Linked DNA regions of Daphnia pulex. The protein of the gene in region 1 binds, or shares a complex with, the protein of each later gene. Links are inferred from orthologs where the notes say so. Each region holds a gene or a part of one and is shown in the gene's direction. Other genes may lie near its edges. The genes, in order: cell cycle checkpoint control protein RAD9A-like, cell cycle checkpoint protein RAD1-like and checkpoint protein HUS1-like.

The links.
Region 2: the proteins of cell cycle checkpoint control protein RAD9A-like (region 1) and cell cycle checkpoint protein RAD1-like are in contact, whole or in part, in a crystal structure (PDB 3GGR), measured with the Homo sapiens proteins. The link is inferred for Daphnia pulex from reciprocal best matches to the Homo sapiens genes RAD9A and RAD1. Residues at the interface, in NP_004575.1 of Homo sapiens: Leu76, Ser82, Val83, Ser86, Leu90, Lys92, Leu112, Phe116, Gly117, Val118, Arg119, Lys120, Thr121, His122, Asn123, Leu124; in NP_002844.1 of Homo sapiens: Glu165, Ala166, Ser168, Glu169, Asn195, Ala196, Gly197, Ser198, Ser199, His200, Leu201, Asp202, Tyr203, Pro204, Asp206, Ser207, Glu211.
Region 3: the proteins of cell cycle checkpoint control protein RAD9A-like (region 1) and checkpoint protein HUS1-like are in contact, whole or in part, in a crystal structure (PDB 3GGR), measured with the Homo sapiens proteins. The link is inferred for Daphnia pulex from reciprocal best matches to the Homo sapiens genes RAD9A and HUS1. Residues at the interface, in NP_004575.1 of Homo sapiens: Leu157, Pro158, Pro161, Val176, Ala186, Lys191, Ala192, Met193, Val194, Thr195, Glu196, Met197, Cys198, Leu199, Gly200, Asp203; in NP_004498.1 of Homo sapiens: Thr84, Asn87, Arg90, Ala91, Lys93, Thr94, Phe110, Ser121, Ser123, Ser126, Arg127, Ile128, Val129, Thr130, His131, Asp132, Ile133, Pro134, Ile135.

Annotation. Positions count from the first base shown.
Region 1 is NC_060026.1:14,697,919-14,704,179, forward strand, and holds cell cycle checkpoint control protein RAD9A-like, read left to right. Parts: upstream 1-2,624; 5' UTR 2,625-2,832; coding exon 2,833-2,866; intron 2,867-2,936; coding exon 2,937-3,160; intron 3,161-3,219; coding exon 3,220-3,384; intron 3,385-3,443; coding exon 3,444-3,547; intron 3,548-3,607; coding exon 3,608-3,832; intron 3,833-3,901; coding exon 3,902-4,095; intron 4,096-4,151; coding exon 4,152-4,471; 3' UTR 4,472-4,643; downstream 4,644-6,261. Other genes in the region: uncharacterized protein LOC124203995, read left to right, coding at 49-218, 307-451, 513-765, 832-934; lipopolysaccharide-induced tumor necrosis factor-alpha factor homolog, read right to left, coding at 1,599-1,707, 1,774-1,868, 1,930-1,997, 2,080-2,173; squamous cell carcinoma antigen recognized by T-cells 3-like, read right to left, coding at 4,683-5,011, 5,079-5,171, 5,242-5,389, 5,451-5,877, 5,937-6,092, 6,154-6,261. UniProt on the Homo sapiens protein: Component of the 9-1-1 cell-cycle checkpoint response complex that plays a major role in DNA repair. The 9-1-1 complex is recruited to DNA lesion upon damage by the RAD17-replication factor C (RFC) clamp loader complex.
Region 2 is NC_060028.1:2,683,592-2,690,205, forward strand, and holds cell cycle checkpoint protein RAD1-like, read left to right. Parts: upstream 1-2,690; 5' UTR 2,691-2,817; exon of another isoform or gene 2,818-3,269; intron 3,270-3,328; exon of another isoform or gene 3,329-3,353; 5' UTR 3,354-3,433; coding exon 3,434-3,547; intron 3,548-3,646; coding exon 3,647-3,745; intron 3,746-3,805; coding exon 3,806-3,960; intron 3,961-4,028; coding exon 4,029-4,156; intron 4,157-4,212; coding exon 4,213-4,319; intron 4,320-4,382; coding exon 4,383-4,447; intron 4,448-4,472; exon of another isoform or gene 4,473-4,512; coding exon 4,513-4,732; 3' UTR 4,733-4,749; coding exon of another isoform or gene 4,750-4,785; 3' UTR 4,786-4,956; coding exon of another isoform or gene 4,957-5,068; 3' UTR 5,069-5,101; downstream 5,102-6,614. Other genes in the region: uncharacterized protein LOC124209761, read right to left, coding at 455-587; polymerase delta-interacting protein 2-like, read right to left, coding at 4,957-5,068, 5,147-5,226, 5,286-5,411, 5,472-5,635, 5,716-5,893, 5,977-6,085, 6,464-6,513, 6,587-6,614. UniProt on the Homo sapiens protein: Component of the 9-1-1 cell-cycle checkpoint response complex that plays a major role in DNA repair. The 9-1-1 complex is recruited to DNA lesion upon damage by the RAD17-replication factor C (RFC) clamp loader complex.
Region 3 is NC_060024.1:9,951,124-9,957,195, reverse strand, and holds checkpoint protein HUS1-like, read left to right. Parts: upstream 1-2,987; 5' UTR 2,988-3,088; coding exon 3,089-3,140; intron 3,141-3,233; coding exon 3,234-3,440; intron 3,441-3,501; coding exon 3,502-3,614; intron 3,615-3,690; coding exon 3,691-3,798; intron 3,799-3,865; coding exon 3,866-4,040; intron 4,041-4,100; coding exon 4,101-4,190; intron 4,191-4,258; coding exon 4,259-4,347; 3' UTR 4,348-4,455; coding exon of another isoform or gene 4,456-4,533; 3' UTR 4,534-4,664; downstream 4,665-6,072. Other genes in the region: uncharacterized protein LOC124200064, read right to left, coding at 46-319, 436-771, 837-1,069, 1,132-1,348, 1,413-1,590, 1,678-2,511, 2,567-2,696; probable 26S proteasome non-ATPase regulatory subunit 3, read right to left, coding at 4,456-4,533, 4,757-5,122, 5,186-5,434, 5,504-5,617, 5,682-5,793, 5,855-6,054. UniProt on the Homo sapiens protein: Component of the 9-1-1 cell-cycle checkpoint response complex that plays a major role in DNA repair. The 9-1-1 complex is recruited to DNA lesion upon damage by the RAD17-replication factor C (RFC) clamp loader complex.

The DNA of each region.
Region 1 (6,261 bases):
CTTGGTTATGATCACTTAAATATATAATGCTGGTTTCTTTTTTCGTAGGCCCATCATTTCCTGCTCAACAAACATTAGCTGAAAAGAAATTAGCCCAATCAAGAACAAAATTGTCTACTGAAGAGCAAGCTACATTGATGTACATGATGTATCAACAGCAACATTTCCTAAATAATCAAATTGAAGAATCTAAAGACAGAGTGTTGGCAGAATGCAAGGTAAACAATATACGATTATAACATTAATGTATACTCTTATTTAATTTTTTAACAACACTCCTAACATTTTAATTGAAAATGGTTTCAGGAACAAATGGAAGACCTCTGGAATTTGATCAAAATTAAGGAAAACAAAATTTCCCAAATCAAGGAAAGGAAGAGACTTGAAGAAATGCGGTTGGAACTCACTTCTCAGATTGAAGTATTGGAACCAATTGTGAAGCAAACAACAGGTTTGTCAAAATGTTCACATACTAGAGACATTCTTGAATCTTGGTTTGCATTTGTATTCAGATGCACTAAGTACTGTAACCCCTAAAGTTAAAGAGCTAGCAGATGGTTTGGACATCTATCGCCATCAGATTCGTCTAATTGATATCAATGAATTTAAAAAAGAAGAAACAGATGAATTGATCAAAGTTTTTAAGAACAGCACAACTCTATCCGATAACATTCAGGTGGAAAAGTTTGATGAGTTTATTAAAGCCGCAAGCGTAATTTCTGATCTAAACGGAACTACTGCTATGCAAATTGGAATCATGGAGGAGTATGTCTGCGTTATTTAAAAAAAAAACTCTTTGTCTAGGTCGAAATAAATTATTTTCTGTTTTAGATGCCAGAATATGATGTCGCAATCGATTACTCGGCTTGGCCAAGAACTAACACTGAGAGATACAAAAACGGACTTTAGAAAATTAAGCGATTTGGATGTATAAAAGTTACGTTTTGTTTATATTGTAAGATTATTTCTGTCATGATAATTAAATACTTTGATAGAAATCCAACCATTTCCTGTCATTTGTTTCTTACTGCGCTTCTATTAATGGGTAGGTTAATCCCCAAAACCATGTTGTTTGTATCTATGAAATAGCGGGAAACATTTAATAAGCATCGTTTTGGTTCTTTTTTAACTTTTTTCCATAGGAATAACATTTTCTATATATTTAACGAGCAGCATAAAAATAATTAATAAACTACGGCACTGCAAGATTCAAATTAATTTAAAAAAATTCAGTTAAGAAAAGGAATATAGGTTTTTTGTCCCAGTCGAACAAAACGTTTTTCAATGAATTTAAAATTTAAATTACAAACGACAATTTTAATATATTCGAAGTTTATTCATTGATAAATTTTGGTGATAAAATTAACACGGCGTATCTTTGATTTTAATAAGTAAGCGGAGTAGATATTGAAGCAAGGTACGAATAATACAACGTTCAGCATTTCTATTGTTTGAAATTTTGAAATTGAAAAGCTTCGTGTAATTAGGAAAAAGGTAAATTTTGGCATACAAGATGCAACAACCAAATTTGCCAAAAATGAATATGAAATTTAACACACAGAAAGAACCAATTGCCTCTTCATAGTAAGAACATTAGCTTAAAAGTGGCTGTATCTCCCCAAGTATGCTTTGCAATTTGGACAAGCATGATGAACATTCATGCACTCAGGAATACAGCAGGGGATAAGGCAACAGCCCAACCAACATCTGGTAATAAAAATATATGTGTTATATCAATGTGTAACTCTTAAGAAATTGCTGACTGTGTAATACCCAAATAGAACTAAAAGACCTCCAGAAAGCCAGGCAATCAGACCAGGTTCAGTACGCACAGAAGTGTCAATTTCAGCATGGCAATGTGGACAGACCTGTAAAGAAAGAAGATAGAGAAAATAAAATATATAATTAACTGTGGAGGGAAAAACTAACAGTGTGTGTTGTTCCGGGTCCAACAGGTATCACGGTTGTCACAATAATAGGCTGCTGGTTGGTTACATCTATTAAAAGAGATAAACATTGTGATTTTGAATGTGAGGCACATTTCCCATTAAAAGTTAAAATACTAAAAAAATGCTTTACTTTGATGAGGAGTAAAGGGGCTTGATGGATTAACACCACCCACTGCTTCCATGTAAGAAGGAGGGGCAGCTGGAGGAGGACCTTGTTTACTCATCTGTGAAATAGTTTATGGAGAATCCAATGAATTATTGGTAAATTGGTAATCAGAATATCAGACCAACATTAACTTCAATGTTTTGTATTCTGAATCATGAAAGAGTTTAAATTTTATTTGTTATTACCTTAGAAAGTCATGCAGTACAAGTAAGTTATTCACAAACGTTTACACTCTGTGCTCTAGTTAACACTACACAGCTGTTCTTAAGCTCCGCCCCATGACTTTTCAGAATGTAATCAGCAGGAATTGGACAGCGGAAAAGCTGATGTAATTGAAAGTCTTCCAATGTTTCAGAATGTTATAATTGAAAACCATTGATAAATCAAGGGGAAAAAAAATTTCCTTGAAGTACCTCAGCAGATAAGACCGTCTTCTTTATCTATGGTTAAAAGTACAATCAAGTTTCAGTGACTTGCAGATGTGGCCGAAATAATACGAGTCACGCTCGTCACTTGTTTCATTTGTTTACATCTTCAGTGAAGATAAAATCTCAACAGCCAATCGGGGCATACTTGAAAAAATTCATTTCCGTGTCGTCTGCGTGCTAAACATTCTAAACGTGTTATCCGGGACATGGGGTTACCGATATAATTTCTGGCGGCATTTCGAATTTTTTTTTAGTGCAAACAACTAAATTTACATTGAAGTAAAGAAAAATGAAATGTCTTTTGGATGCAACCAGTGTTAAGGGTACGACATGATGTTTCATTTGATTGTACTAAAGCAGTTGAAAGCTAAAACACTTTCTTTTATTCTTTAGTTTTGGCGCGAGCCATACACTCATTGGCTAAGATAGGTGATGAATTGCACATTTCACCAATGGAAAATGGATTAACTCTGAAGACCGTCAATGCTTCCAAATCTGCCTATTCAGCTTTCAATTTTCACCTACCTTTTTTTCTTGACTACACGCACATAAGTGAAAATACTGTTCACGCTGATCCAGAAGAAGATACTGTGATTAAATGTAAACTTCCCATGAAGGTCTGACAAATAACTTTAATGTGAAGTATTGTGTGTTTACAATGATGTTTTGTTTCCAGTCCATCTTGTCTGTATTTAGGTCGATCGGAAGCTTGGAAAAATCAGTTGAAACATGTAAGATAATGCTACCACTTCTTGAGGCTCTGTTAATCATTGAGTTCAGGTGCAAACATGGAATTGTTAAGTACTTCAACTTAAGATACTTTGAATGTGAAAGTGTTGAAGTAAGTCCTTTGATTTGGTCTCGCCAGACTTTTAATGAAAATAACCTAAAAATTCATAGGCAGAATTCTCTAAGGAGGGTTACCCCAGTAAATTTTCCTGCTCTTCACGTTTTTACAATGAAACTCTTCAAAGTTTTCATTCAAGCACTCAAGAAGTTACTTGGTAATCCAACAACATAATTGTCATGTTTAAATAACCTCAAATTTCGTTTATTCTTTCAAGGTCCCTTGCAATGGATCAAGTACATTTGAGTAACCATATTGATGATGAAATAGACCCATCCAAATGTGTTCGTACGGAAGTCACGTTGGTCAAGGATGAATTCATTGAATTTAACGTCGCTCTGTGTACTCAAGTTACATTTTGCTTGAAGGAATTACGAGCTATTTTGGCCTTCGCAGAAGCCCTGAAACTCGATCTTGATTGTCGAATGGAAGGCGCCGGACAGTAAGCAATATTTCATTTTACTTGTGATTCAAAAGTTGCATCGATTATTTACGGAATTCCTTCTACCAGGCCTGTTTTGTTCAGTCTACAAAAGGATGACTTGTATTCAGCAGATTTTCTCCTTGCAACTCTAACGCCTGCTCTGGACACTACGGCATCCATTAGTTCGCGAACTGCCAAACACGAAATGTCAGTACAAGGCAATACCTCCAACCATCCGTCTCCTGTCCCTACCCTGAGGAATAAAACAGGTAACAAAACAGGCTTGAAAGGGAAGTCAGGATCTTGACATACATTGCTCTCCTCGTGAATTTTCTAGATTCCAGGACCATTTCGCGTGCCAATTTGGTCGATTCTAGGAACGGTTCTCGTGCAAGCACGACACACACTCGTTTACACACACCTTTGATACGACAAACGCCTGTTAACGAGGATCATACCCCACGTCTTAACAGTCTATCTCTTATCGAGCCCCATCCGTTTCCTGATATGGAAGTAGATTTGGAACCCGAAATTCAACCACCTCCTAATAAGAGAGCTCGGGCTCGCTACATATTTCAGAATTGTCTCAAGTTAACACAAGAATACAGAGAGCGACCAACTGAAGTCTTTGCTCCGGATTCAGAGGAAGATGAATAGCAAGAGACGAAATAACCCTTTCCCGGCTTTCCCCTCATCCAACGATTTTGTACATTTTTCTTTCGCCGAGTTAACTCAGTATTGTTTTGTGTCAGAATTTTGTAACGGTACATCACTGTATCCTATATAATGATCACAAAAGTTAAAGTGCCATTAAATGTTGATCAGTCCATTTTTTATTTATTCGTGCCATTTCAATGTCATTTTCAAATTATTTCTTTAGAAGCATGGACCGGAAATCGGCATTGCTCTTCGAAGCACTGGCGGGAACACTGACGGGTGGCGGCATGGTGGAAGACTGAGATGTCTGGCGAAGGACGGCGTTTGGAACAAACGACACTTGCGTTCTCCTTACCCGTGTTCCGCCACCCAAAGATAGTTCATCCTTGTCCAGGTTTCTGTCTTCGCGACGTGGAGGTGGATTGCTTAACGCAACCGTCAAAACTTTGTCCTGGAATGTAGTTCCGTCTGTCTGGTTCATAGCCATCGTCGCTGAAACTTCATCTTCGAATTCAACGTAAGCCAGACCTTTGGGCTTTCCTTTATATTTAATTAAATAGAAGTTAGTAAAGAAAAAATAAATTTAATTTAGATTATTAAACGCTACCGTTCCGTAACGTTACTAATCGAACGTCCTTCAGAATTCCAAATTTTTTAAACAGAGCTTCCAAGTCTTCTTTAGTAGTAGTGAAAGCTAAGCCTGTTATAACATCAAATAGATTTGGGATAAAAACAAATTAAGCTCGTACCTAAAGATCGCAAATACGTACCTTTGATAAACAGTTTTTTCTTTTCTAATGTTGACTGGTACTTGAAAGCTGGATGCTTCAATGCTGCGTCCGGTTCGCTTGGAGACATGAAAACCGGTCGTCCTTTCATGAGCTCACGGTCCCGCTTCAGAACTGCTCTCGCTTCATCCTAAGATAGTTTTAAATGAATTTAACGGACAAGCGTAGGAAATTTAATTATGGAAGTTTACTTGTGAAGAAAATTCGACAAAACAAAATCCTTTGCAACGTTGTTTGTAGTCCAGAACAAGACGTATGTCCGTTATGGTGCCGGAAGAACTCATCATGTTGCGTACATCTTGTTCAGATGTTTCGTAGGCCAGATTGCTTAAAAAGACCGTATTGGCATGACGGGAAGGATCGGTAACCGGTTTAGGAATGACAACGGGCTTGCTAGCAGGTTCGGTGGCGTTTACTTTAGGTTCAACTTTCTTTTTGGGAACAACTTTCGTACTAGTTGCTGCGGCATCATGGCTTATTTTAGGTTTTTTGGCAGGCACGGGTTTCGATTCTTTCGCATCTTCAATCTTTCCTCGTTTCCTACCTTTAGCCGTTTCTACTTCTTGAACCGTTTGCCCCTCTCTTTCTTTATTAACCTTCTTCATCCGAGCTTCACACCTGGCATATTTAAACAATTAAAATCAAAATTTTCAAAAGCTTTAAATTATTTTTCAGACCTCTGTTTAGCGATATCCATGGTTTGTAAGTCTCCTTCTTCGCGTTCAAATTGCAGCCATTGCTTAACGATCAACTCTGGCCAATCGGACGAAGAGACTCCATTTAGACTCTTCGTAAATAATTTGCGGACTTCTTCTTTATTGTTATCGTGTGTTCTGTTATAATAAGCATTGTGTTAATATAACTCTAATAGAATTAACTAATTAGATCAATAACCTTTCAAACTGAACACGAGCCAGCCACCACTGAGCAGATTTACTGTGTCCCCGGCTTATAATCTTGCTCCAGAGGTCTCGAGCTTTAGGCATATTATTCAGCTTTTTT
Region 2 (6,614 bases), on another chromosome or scaffold:
GAAGAGAAACACTTCTAGGAAAGTCTCAAACGTCCCTGAGCTCAGCCTGGCCTTGAAGAGGGCAGAGACACAGAGAGTCGATTGCCCGGCCGGGCTAAGAGACTGATATGGCAGGCAAAGGATAAAAGAAGAAGAAAATAAACAAGTAGGGCCCCCACCACTGGACTACCACCACCACCACCCACACACCCATTTTGCTCTCGCCCGCCGATTTGCCTTCATCTCAGAAAAAAAGGCCTGTGATGGAATGGCACGTGAGATGTTCACGTGTTCAGATCAATGGACTCACGCACACACACAGGCAAGTGGCTGTGCTCTGGCCACCACAGCCCTGGCCCATTGCCCAAGACGAAGAGATCACAGGGGGGGGGAAAGGCAAAGTGCCCTTCGCCCCGCTTCTTGCATCACTGCTGCATGGCTGAGGGGAGGGGAGGGAAAAAATGGGCCGTGATACCTTGCATGTAATGTTGGATCCATTTCTTTTTGGGTGCCGAAGTCATGGTGCTGCTACGACCCACCAACTCCTCCGTAGCAAACACCCCCATGACCATCGATTGTAACTGGATATGAGTCGATTCATTCACCATCCGCTAGTCAACTCGAAACGGCCCGTAGTTTCCAATGCTCCCCAGAGGAAAAAACAAAAACAAAAACAAAACGACGACCACTGGGAGGGAGGAAAAATTGTTGCCGAGTCGCATTCAACAGTCACAACGCATTGCAAAATAACTCACAGGGGCCCCCCACCACCACCACCGTGGCGATGACGTCGTAACACACAAGATGCGCGCGCGCAAACTCCCAAACATACATACACACACACACACGTCCACACACGGGGAGCCACACTCACACAAATAAAATGATAATATATTAAAGAGTCTCTCTCTCTCTCTGCACTAGCCGACCTTCGATCGTAGACTGGTGAGCCAGTATCCGTTGCGGCTGCACTACGGCGTGAGTGGCGACCTCCTTCTCCTCCTCCTCCTCCACCTACCATCATCACTTGCCACCCGTTACCGCACGCTCTCCCTCCCTCCCCCCTCTCTTATATAATCAGCCATGTCGTTGGCTGCGTGCGCGACGACTTTGTTTTCACTCCCGGACTCTCTCTCTTTCCTATCTAGCTCTTGACCTCCCCCATCCGCTCTACAATGCACACCACCACCCTCCCAGTGCGAGCGGGATACACACACACACACACACTGGTTAGCACGTGCGGGTTGTGGAACCGAAGTGGGCGGGGCTTTGCCACCCTTTTTTCGGATCTATTTCGGCGTGTTACCCGCGCACGCACGCCACTCTCCCCGAGATTCGCAGTTGCGCAAATAGATCGCTCTCCTCACCCACCTCTCTCTCTCCCACTCCCGACACCCGTTCTTGCTTGTTCTTGGCGAGCCTGGAAAAATAAAAGAGGAGGAGGAGCTTTTTTGAATGGACTGTTGCCAACGTCAAAATGCCAATGCGCAGGCTCTAACTTCGTAGAGATCGAGGTCAACAATCGATGTCGACATTCTCGATGACCGTAGTGTGACGTTGGGGAAGAAGAAGAAATAAAATAAAAAAGACACGCTCCAACAGAGGCACCTGGCGGGGGCAATTACAGATTCAAAGGCCAGAAAACCAAAAGATTGATGAGCTCATATCCTCCAACACCAAACACAATAGGGAACTGATTCACAACCTTTGGCTCTGCAGAGCTCGAGAAATTCAAGACTGGGGGTGCACGAGCTTCTAAGCAGTCTGATATTATAAAGACTTTGCATGCACAAACTGATGTCAGTATGAGCAATCCTGCTTGTTTCTAGGAGGGAACGGGGACTAGATTAAACTTGTGCAAAGCAATTACCTTGGGTCTGTCGCTCTACAAATAGAGCGGCTTCCAGGAGAATCTCCAAACTCATTGTTGGACAACCACCAGCCGCTGAGTGTTAGACCTGTGGGTCAAGAAGACACAAACAGTTTTAGTCAACAGTGTAACAGCATTGAACAACAACGATGACATCCAGGATCCACATTGCATCAATATCAAATGAAAAAAAAAATAAAAATTCACACAGACGCACGCACACAGGGTCATTCGCTTTTGGGTTTCAGTACTCGTTTCATTTTGGCCTGAGGCTGGCGGCCTTGAATGAGCTCTCTATAGTCTATCAAAAGAAAACTTTTAACAAGAGGAAAATGCCTCTTTGTTTGCTTGCTTTTAATGTCTAAACTAAATGCGACAAGAATTAAATCGGCAAAAGATACTGCATTTAGTCGAAAAACCAAAGTCACTCTGATCGCCAAAGTGACGTTTGAAAACTAACACTACATCACAAGATAATATTATCGAGAAAAACTACGCACTTCAAGCGAGGCACCAGGCTACACGTGTCCCAGCGATGACGTCACCAAAATGGGCGTCACCGATTTTTGCCTTTAGGTTTTCTTGGGGGCGCCGAAGCTACTACTATTGCTGCTTGCCGAGTAGTCTACGTGCCGAATTACTGGGTTATAAATGCCGGTAAATCAAACAATCGAAACTCGATTGCACACATACTTAGCCACAAAAGAATTACACTTCACTTCACGGTTTAAGTCTCAGCACCGAAAAAGACGTTTGGGCTGTTTTTTGTCTTGTATCTGTTATCACGTTGCTCCTCGCACGTGAAAGAGAACTGCTCCCCTTCAACACCGCCAACTAAGGCGGTACCGAACTGAGTACACGCGTCGACCGCTACAACAACGATACTGGCGGCAAGTTTTCTCCCTCGCTCCGAACCATCAACAGCCATCAACTTGGTTCTTTTTTCATTCGTCCTTTACTGCTTTTATGTATTTTTATTTAAAATTTCATCTTTTCATGACTTTTACATTTAAATTCATTTCCCGCTGCCTTAATCAGTTGAAAACTATGTTTGGAAGCCAAAACATTTCTAGGTGGCGCAATGGTCGCATACGACCAATGGGCGTGCTCATTTTCGAATTCCCCATCTCTAAACTGTTGTTTTCTCGCGTTGTACAACGCCGCAATGTTTCTGACTTTCTGTTTAATAATAACAATATTTTCCTGTTTGAATCAATAAGCCGGTAGGCTTTTTCGTCGTCTCGAGATTAAAACTTGAAATTTTTACTTCCATTCCATTGCAGACAGTTTAGCACTTTTTAAATCCAACAAATTTGATTGTGCTGTATAGTTGATTGTGATAAACACAACCAGATTTTGAATTCAGTCAAAACTAGAATAATTCGTCTCGAATCATAGTTCTCTTGGATGTAACAGTTGGGTCGGTTCATTTTTTGTGCAGTACATTTTTCTGTAAAAAATCCTAGCCTTATTAACCAGAACATTTTTTCACTGATCATTTCAGGATGATCCTTTAGGAACCCTTTGCATAATTCTCAAAACTACTCCCACAACATTAAAGAGCAAACGAGTCCCACATTCACCATGCCAAATTTTCCATTTCAAAACACGTCTGGAGACCAAAGTCACATCTTGATGATACGTATGGATAATGCAAAAATTATCTCACATATCCTCAAATCCATAAATTTCAAAGAGGTAAATTCTTCAAGAATTGTAATACAGAGAAAACATGTTTTGTTAGCGATCAAAAGCTAATCCTATTACATCCTTCTTGTGATTTTGCTTTCCTTTCAGAATTCCGTATTTTGCTGTACTAGAGATGGATTAAAAGTCACAGTTGAAGACATGAAAAGTGTCCAGCTAAATGCCTTTATAGAGCCTGGAGTTTTTCAAGTAAAAAGAATTCACAAAAACAATAATTTTCACAAAATTTACTAACTCTTTGAAATTTAGAGTTATGTTATTAAAGAAGATGAGATTAAATTTCAGCTTAATTTAACTGTGCTTCTGGAATGTTTGAATGTATTTGGCTCTAACAACCTTCAAAGTGGCAGCACACCAGCCTTGAAACTCTACTATAACGGCCATGGGACTCCCGTTTCTATCTTGTATGTAAAACTACAAAGAATAATCGTTCTTTATACTTATTTCGAATTATAATTTTTTTTTTTGGCAGGCTGGAAGAATCAGGAGTTATCACTGACTGCAAGATACGTACAGTTCATTTTGATCCTGTCCTGGATTACGATTTTGGGTCGGCTAACGTCATCGGTCGTATCATTATGAGTTCGGAATGTCTTAAAGGTAATTAAGCGTTGAAAGAAGACAGAAATTTCCTAATATAATTATTGTTTTTATAGAGGTGTTTTGTGAGTTGGACTCGACTAGTGATACTGTTCAGTTTTCTTTGTCACCTGATTCGTCAAATTTTCGTATCACAACATTTGGTCATTCAGGAACTTATCATGTAAATCACGTTGTAAAGTTTTTAGTGAAGCGCGTTCTAATTCTAAACGTTTTGGGTTTCAAGGTCGATATTCCGAAAGAGAGCGATGTAATAGAAACTCTTCGTTGTACCTCGGCAGTGTCCTTTAAGTACGAAATAGATACACATACATAATAAGGCGTACACGATGTATTAGCTCAATTTCTGACTTTAGATACAAGCTCTCCTTGATGAAACCATCCATCAAACCCCTTGGAATAGCGCAAAAGGTTTCGCTACGAATCGACGATACGGGGCTCATATGTTTCCAATTCATGATCAAGGTAGAAGACAACCACAACTGTTACATCGATTTTTACGTAAGTTCATTTTTTTTTCCAAGTTCTATCCGTCAAATTACGTTTTACAACCGTCCTCTCCCTTATACACTCTAATAATTGATTTCTTATAGTGCCCTGCGGACGTCGACTTCGACGACGACGAATGAATGCCACGAGAACGAATTATTGACCGCATCACTAAAACGAAAAAAATGCCCTAGAATTATTCTAGAACGAAGATCTTTGAAAACCTTAGAAAAAACTAAAAAGCCAGCAGTTGTCTTTCATGTACAAAGTTTGTTGTTGTTCATATTTCATGATTATCATGAACGACTCCATTAAACCACGCCGGTTGGCAAGCTATTATCCTCGTTCTTGCTTTCCAATGAAAAGGGAGGGATGCGACAGTCAAAGGTGTGCCCATCTTCTCTCTCCATTCGAAACGTTCCCCTGTTCATAAAAAAAATAAATTATTTGAACTTGGCTGTTGTACTCTTTAATAAATAGTGAAAAATAACTTGAAATTACCACATATGCCCTGATGGTGCTTGTAGTGAAATATGGCTGCTATACTGGAACGCTGGTTGTTCGGGTGACAAGACCGGTTCCTTAAGAACGATTTAATGTTACATTCTAATTTTGAACGGTGGTTATTGACGTTAATTACCTGTCCAATTACTCCTCTTCCTCGAACCGTTTCTAGGGTACCCGAAAGACTGAAAATACGCCAGTGCCGTTCACGTAATTGTACAGACAGTTCTCCCAAGTTTTCGAGCCGGATACAGTAACGCCACTGCAAAAGTTAAAAATTACATTTGTAAAAAATTTGATTCACATTACCAATGGAACGAACCCAAAAGACAGTTGAATTTTGGGATTCTCGGCATCCCATGTAAAAAGGAGTAACGGTTACACGGATATTCTCTGTCGTTTCTTTGTGTACATCTGATAATTCCAGCCAAGGGTGATTTCTTTCTTGCCACGCTCGCAACGTCTCTCTTGCTTCAAACGGAGGATCTGCACTTTATATATCGATGATTCGTGTTAAAAAAATTCGATAGTAGATTCGCAATGTAGCTGGGCGGGAAAACATTAACCTTTATCGGGGTCAGGCATAAGAAATTTGTCAAAAAGCTCGTGACATAAGGGTTGGTGCTCAGTGGTTCGATACGGCAAGATATCTTCGTGAGCAGCATAGTCCAGACCAGGAATAGCATAAAGCGACTTGCTATTTTCTTGTTGACCTAAAAATGTGACCGCTTCTGTTTGTGCTCTCTTAATAAACAGAAATCTAGTTTTACTAAATGTGCTCCTGAAAACTGAAAAGGTCATCAGCTTAAGAAAAGTTAAATACTCACAATATGAGGACAGTCGCGGGAATCAATGAGCACCTGATAGTAAGTATGGTTTTTCCCTTTTACTTCTCTTCCAACTTGATTAGAGGTATTAACATCAGTATCAGGAGTTCTGTATTTTTTTTAAGTACAGGATTAGCAAGTATTTCATGAGAGATGATGTAAGCTATGTCTGCAAAAGCTTGTCCCTTGCACATATATTATGGAAAACAAAACTTTGTTTTTACAGTACTATTCTTAGATCTTTTTCAATGGCAATGGAAATGAAAATGTTACAGTAACAGAAATGCAATATGGAATTTAGAGTGGACATGTTGAATTAACATTTTACAAATCCTAAAGCTAGCAGAGTTTGAGATTCTCTGCTGTGTTGAGATATTGTTGGTGTAGCTGGAATTGATGAACTACCTCACATTCACATTGCTAAAGTATAGTCTTCCAAGAATAATGTGTTTACAATAAGATACCTTACAATATAAAGGGTACATACTTTGTAGTTTTCTTGTTTGCCAAAATATCTCGATCATACACTCTAGCTGACTGGATTGAAATAAACATTTAGAGTATTTAAAGAAATTATGATATCAAAATTAAGTTTGGAAACAATATTTACCCAGGGGAAAAGAATCACACCTCTGTAG
Region 3 (6,072 bases), on another chromosome or scaffold:
TTTTAAGGGATAAATTAAAACGCGAAGACCATTAAAGAGCACTACCTGACATTGGAGATGAGGTCTTGTCATTTCTGAATCCTCCGGATCCGGAATGGCTACTCCTTTACTTAAATCCAACATAGTGGCGTAGTACGATACAGTGCGCATTTCCTTTGCATTACTTGCCCCACTCGTTGAGGCGCTCTCTTTAATAGTTGAGACCATTGGGCGCTTAAGAGCTACCGTGCTCGTGGCTTCATTTGGAGAGGTTTGATTTGGTTTGTTTTGAGTAATGCTCCAGTCTTTGAATGGATCGACTGACACGATAGGTAGACGCCTGGCCAACACAAAATAGTGCTTTTAGGAAAAGTTATATAAGCAGAAAATTGCATGGTTTCCCTCTTTTTGATCAAAGAAATAACAATATACGAAAATTAAGATAGAATGTCTCACTTGACTAATGGCATTCCGGTTTCTGCACGAGCTTGAGCGCTGATATCGCGAATAATATTATGGAAAGCATCAGATGATGATTGCCCGTTGATTTCACGCCACACTAGTTCATCCAAGAACTGCTGGATCGTAGCAGTTGAAAGAAGTGATAGGGTATTCTGGAACACCTTAGGCACCGTTTTGCGGAGGTACTCCATAATGGTACGATTGTTTAGGCGGTCATCAACAGAAACCGTATTTAAATTTTTCTGTACTACATGACGAAATCCTAGTTCTTCGAGTGCCGCACGTTCAACAGTGAAATCTGTCATGATAATGGCTTTCTGATTCACCCACCTAAACAAAACGTGGAATGGTAAAAATTAGATTATAGCAATTGGGGATGCAATATTTTCATTTACTTTGGAAGGGGTTCTAGAATTTTGGTAAATCGAGCTCGACTACGCGTATCCCCAGCGATTGGTTCACAGGCCCGCAGTCGGAATTTCTTTGTTTCTTGATCATAGACGCCGAGGACTTCCACCTTAACGTCACGTCGCTTTCCATCCGTCGATGTTGTACCTAATGAAATCACTCCAACCTCAACGCGGCCATTTTTGCAGCCGAACAATGGAGTGCTAGAATGCACTTCTACCTACATTCGTATAAAATATAAATATGAAAATTTACAAAATATAAATAACTAGCAACGCGTACCGTGCAAACACTCCGTAACATGCCATAGAACAAGCGGAGAAAGACATGATCGATTTTCACCCACTGAACTACGTTCGAAACGGTTGTTTGGCAAGCCCAGTGATAAATGAGCTTTAGCAAAACTGTTGGGGACTGGGTAGAATCCTCAAATAATGACTCACGAAATATCGAAACAAAGTTGCGATCGCAACATTTTGTCATCCAAACATAGCCCCCACTAAATGTTCAATGGATTTAATTCACAATTCAATAACCTGTTCACGTCTTATTTAAATTTTTACCTGAATGGAAATTTATTCTCTTCTGCGTACATTCGCAGTTGTAATGGAACCGGGGTTGATGTCGCGTTAAAATGTGTTCGACAAGTGCCGAATTGCTGACTTCGTAAAAGGCCAACCTGCATTAACCATTCCGCAAATCGACGAGGATCGAGAACTAAACGGCTCTTTACGAACGAATCTAAAAAGCAAGACAAACCGAATGAAATAATTTTTTTAACATGCACAAAAAAAAATAAAATAAAAAAAAATAAAATACTCAACCAACCTAGTGCCTCTCGTTTCTTGGCATTTACGATGTCGGGAACTGAATTTGCCGGACGAACAACGACACAAAGAGAAGGTATCGTTTTAGACAGCATTTTTGTGTCTTCAGGTGGTGGCACACTCGCAGTATTTTTCGCTGGAGTGGCATTTGAAGGAACCGCCAAGATCGTCATTAGCTGACTTGTTGGGATAGTAACTGCAGGAGCTTGTGATGTTTCTGATGGCTTATTTGGCTTTTGCGTGGGAACAGGTTGATTGCTACTAGCTCTTTTGTTATTTCCACCTGAGATTGATGGAGTAACTTGAGCAACTTGAGTAGCTTGGGCAACTTGAACAGCTTGTGTGACTTTTGGTGTTTGAACAGTCTGGGGAGGTTTTACAGTATGAGAAAGCTGGATTACTTTTGCAGTTTGGGCAGCCTGAGCTACTTGAATAGTTTGAGGAATAGCTTGAACAGTTTGACCAACTTGGCCAGGTTGTATGCATGGTGCAGCTTTCTGTTTCTTTGCGGTAGTAGCAGTAAATTGTGAAAGCAATTGTGATGCTGGAAATGGAGTTTCATCAACAGCTGGAGTTTCATCTGCAGCAGGTAACAGAGCTATAGACTGATTCAGAGGCCTGAAAATTTTTGTTGGTAGTGTGGAAACAGGAGGAACAGAAGGAATTATTGGGGGTCTAATTAAAAATTGAGTAGGTCCACTTCGAGGACTATGCATAGTCTGCTGAACCGCTGGTGTTGGTAACTGAGGTGGTGGTGCAACAGGGTTCCGAACTTTAACCTGATATGTAGACTTCACCAACCAAACATTTCCAGTTTTTGTGACTGATGAACCTTCTGACAAAAATAAAACTGAACTAACTTGCCGGTTTAGTTTTAATGTATAGTTTACCTTTTTTAATCTGGTTGGCTTCTGACATGGCTTTTTCATATTCCATCATAGCATTTGTAAAGAAGCTAACTTGAGTTTCACTCAATTCTTCTTCACAACAATCAACTTCCAGATCACTGGAAAGCGTCATCTTGATTCTTGATTCTTGATTTTTATATTAATCCAATAAAACTCACAACTGCAAAATTCTTGCCGAGGAAAACAAACAACGTATGGGGAATGCGAAAAAATCAAGCCAAGGCAAAACATTGTTGCCAAATTTTCCCTATGCAATAATTGAAATTGAAATAAAAAGGAAAGAATTTTTTAAAATTATATATTAAATTTATGAATATTTCAATAGAAATAAATTTTTAATTGTATTAAGTTAGTGAAAAATAATAAAAATATAGAATGCTTTAAACTTAATTTGGCAGTCTCAATTCTCAAATCAAGCCGGGGAATTTCGTCTGTTCAAAATTTTCTCCTTCATTATTGTTCAAGTTTTTTCGTCTGTTTCAAGATCTCATTTCAACTTTCACAATGAAGTTTCGTGGGAAAATGATTGATCCTAACTGCATTAAGCAATTCATAGGTACGCAATTCCGAATTCTATTATTCATTGCTGTTCTAGGATTAAAATTTCATAAGTCGAAGTCATCAATGATCTTCACATTTTAAACTACAGGCATTTTAGGTTGCATGACGAAACTTGGGAAATCATGCATTCTAAGGATCACTACCAACGACTTGTATTTCATTGTCCGTGAATCCCAGACTATTTCAACCTCTCCACTTATTTGGTGTACTCTTGATGAGGGTCACTTTTTTTCAGAATTTGGAATGGAAGGTTTAAGTACCGTTGATAACGAAATATACCTTGAATTTGTTGCAGGTGAAGTGTACAAACAATGTTAAAACTATTAGATTCAAAATTTTCTTATTTTAATTAATAGAAAATGTTGCAAGAACATTGAGTGCCTTGAAAGTATCAGGAACTGCAAAATCAGTAAAAATCAAACTCACAAAGAAGCTTTCTTCACCGTGTCTAACTTTTGAGATTGACTTGGTATTCTTGAGATTGGCTCCTTGACTGACTTGTTATTCTCCTTATATGCATTAAAATTTCTCATGTATACTTTCAGCCATCAGGTTCTAATCATTCACGATTAGTTGTTCACGACATCCCTGTGAATTTGGTACCTAGAAGGCTTTGGAATGACTATGTTGAGCCAGAAGTTGTGGATCCAGATGTAATTATTTTTAGATATTTTTCTTATATCTTTATAAATATTTAAAATAAAACCCATTAATCTCTAGATTTCAGTTCATATGCCTCAGCTCCGTTTAATGAAAAGCATTATTGAACGCATGAAAAACCTTGCCAATATGGCCACTCTTCACGTCACATCCGAAGGATTACTTACTCTAACTGTTGAAACTGAAGCCGTTTCCGTAACTTCACACTTCGATCATCTACACGTTGAAAAGCAAAGTAAGACTTTAAGGTTGTAGCATTTCCACATAGTTTTAATTATCGGTAACGTTTTAATAGAGGAAGATGAAGCTAGTGTCACCATCGAATTGAAACGTCTATCAAATTTTCTAGCTCATGAACAGCTTAATCCACAAAAAGTCGTTTGTGGTATAAAACAATATGATTACATCTTTTACTAAACACAAACCGACACTCATTTCTATTCGATCTTATAGATGTGCTGCAATCAAAATTGATGCATTTGAATTTTCTGAGCGACAGTTACAGTTTGCAGTATTTTCTCCCAGGGATTAATGACCAATAACGAAGAAAAAAACTTTCCTGAGTTCCCTCGATGATTTATTAAAGTGGATCGCAACTTGAACGATTACATAGAGGCTCACATTTACGCGCTGATTTCAGTACCTACAACTCACGGAAAACCATCGTCATCTTCTTCAGCCATTTCCTTCGCATATTCCAAATCTTGTTGTTCCCGTTCGCGACGTTCCTATAAGAAAAATTTAATCTGTTTTTTACCATAGCCCAATACATAAAACGCAGATAATTCATGTCTGATAGATCTACAGTTTCAGATTTTAAATTACACAGTTGCATTTGGTTTCACGCCAAGGAATTCGATATTGAGTAACGCCGTTGTATTCACAATATTGCTTCTTATAATCAACTCATTTTTTCCTGCAATTAATCGAACGAAATTAGTTTGGGGTTACCTCTGCTGATTCCAAATCTTTGTTGTATGCCTTGGGAGGGAAGCGCATAGCTTTGACGCTTTGATTATGAATCTGAAGGCAGAAGGTGATTCGCTGGTGGAAAGCCAGCTGAGGCTCCTTGGTGCTGTAGACGTCAATGCTCTCCTTACTCTGCATAAATTTTCCTTCGTGGTCTAACCAAGCTTCGATAACTCCGTCACGAATGGCCTTGGCAACAATGAATTCAGCATCTTCGGCCGAGTCCAACAAAAGCTTGTGGGCTATGTCAGCTAGAGAAATGCGCGAATACGACAAAGAGATGGCTCTAATCGCAGTCTTGATAACATTGTGGCGTAGACGGATTATAAGAGTATAGGTATGATCAGCCTAAATAAATAAGAAAGTTAATTATATAATTTGGAGGGGGAACATTCGCTTGAAAGACCCTGCCTGGAAAGTTTTTCCGTAGTTCTCTAACACTTGATTGAATCTGTGTATGTCTCCCAACCTGACGGCTTGCGTCATTTGAAAATATGGAGCCAAGGCGTGTCTCATTGTTGACTGACGGAAAATATGCCGTTCAGGAATGTCTCCCATCAACAACTCGACTGTTACCAAAAGCTTTTGAACCGTTTGTTTGAAACCAACTGCTGTATGCTGGGGCGCTTTCCGAATGGCTTGCAAAAGATGAGTGTGAGCCTAAAATCAACAAAACAATGTTACAATTAGGAGATTAAAATAATAATAATAATAATTGTGTGTTCTCACCTGCGAATATTCCAATTGAATAGCCTTGATTCTTCCAAGATAGTAAAGATAACGTGACCACTCGTTGTTACTTCCAGATTCTGGGAAGACAGATTTTGAGACCAACTTGTCGGCCTAGAAAACGACTTATTAGGTAATCTAATGAAAAATAAATAAAAATAAAATAATGAAAACTTACTTGATCATACAGACTGTAGAAAAGATAGTTGCGCAGCAAACAATTGATCAGCACTGCCTGTCCCTCAAAATCTTTTCGGAGAGTACATGTACGTAGCCGGCTATGCAGAAAGCTAGAATAATAATAATAATTTAAGATATTTTGAAAGGTATTTTTAGCTAGTTCATTTTTACCTTCTGATTGAATCCAGCTTTCCAGCAAGCTCGTACGTCCTAGAATGATAGAAGTAGCAACGAGCAGCCAATAAATCCAAAGTACGCCGATTTTGAGCTGTTATTTTCTGCATTAATTGGTCTGAGCAGAGAACTCCTTCTTGAATGCGCTTATTATCGATACAATGAAGAAGAACTAACATATGGATGTATACGTCAACCTACATAAACTTCAGTCA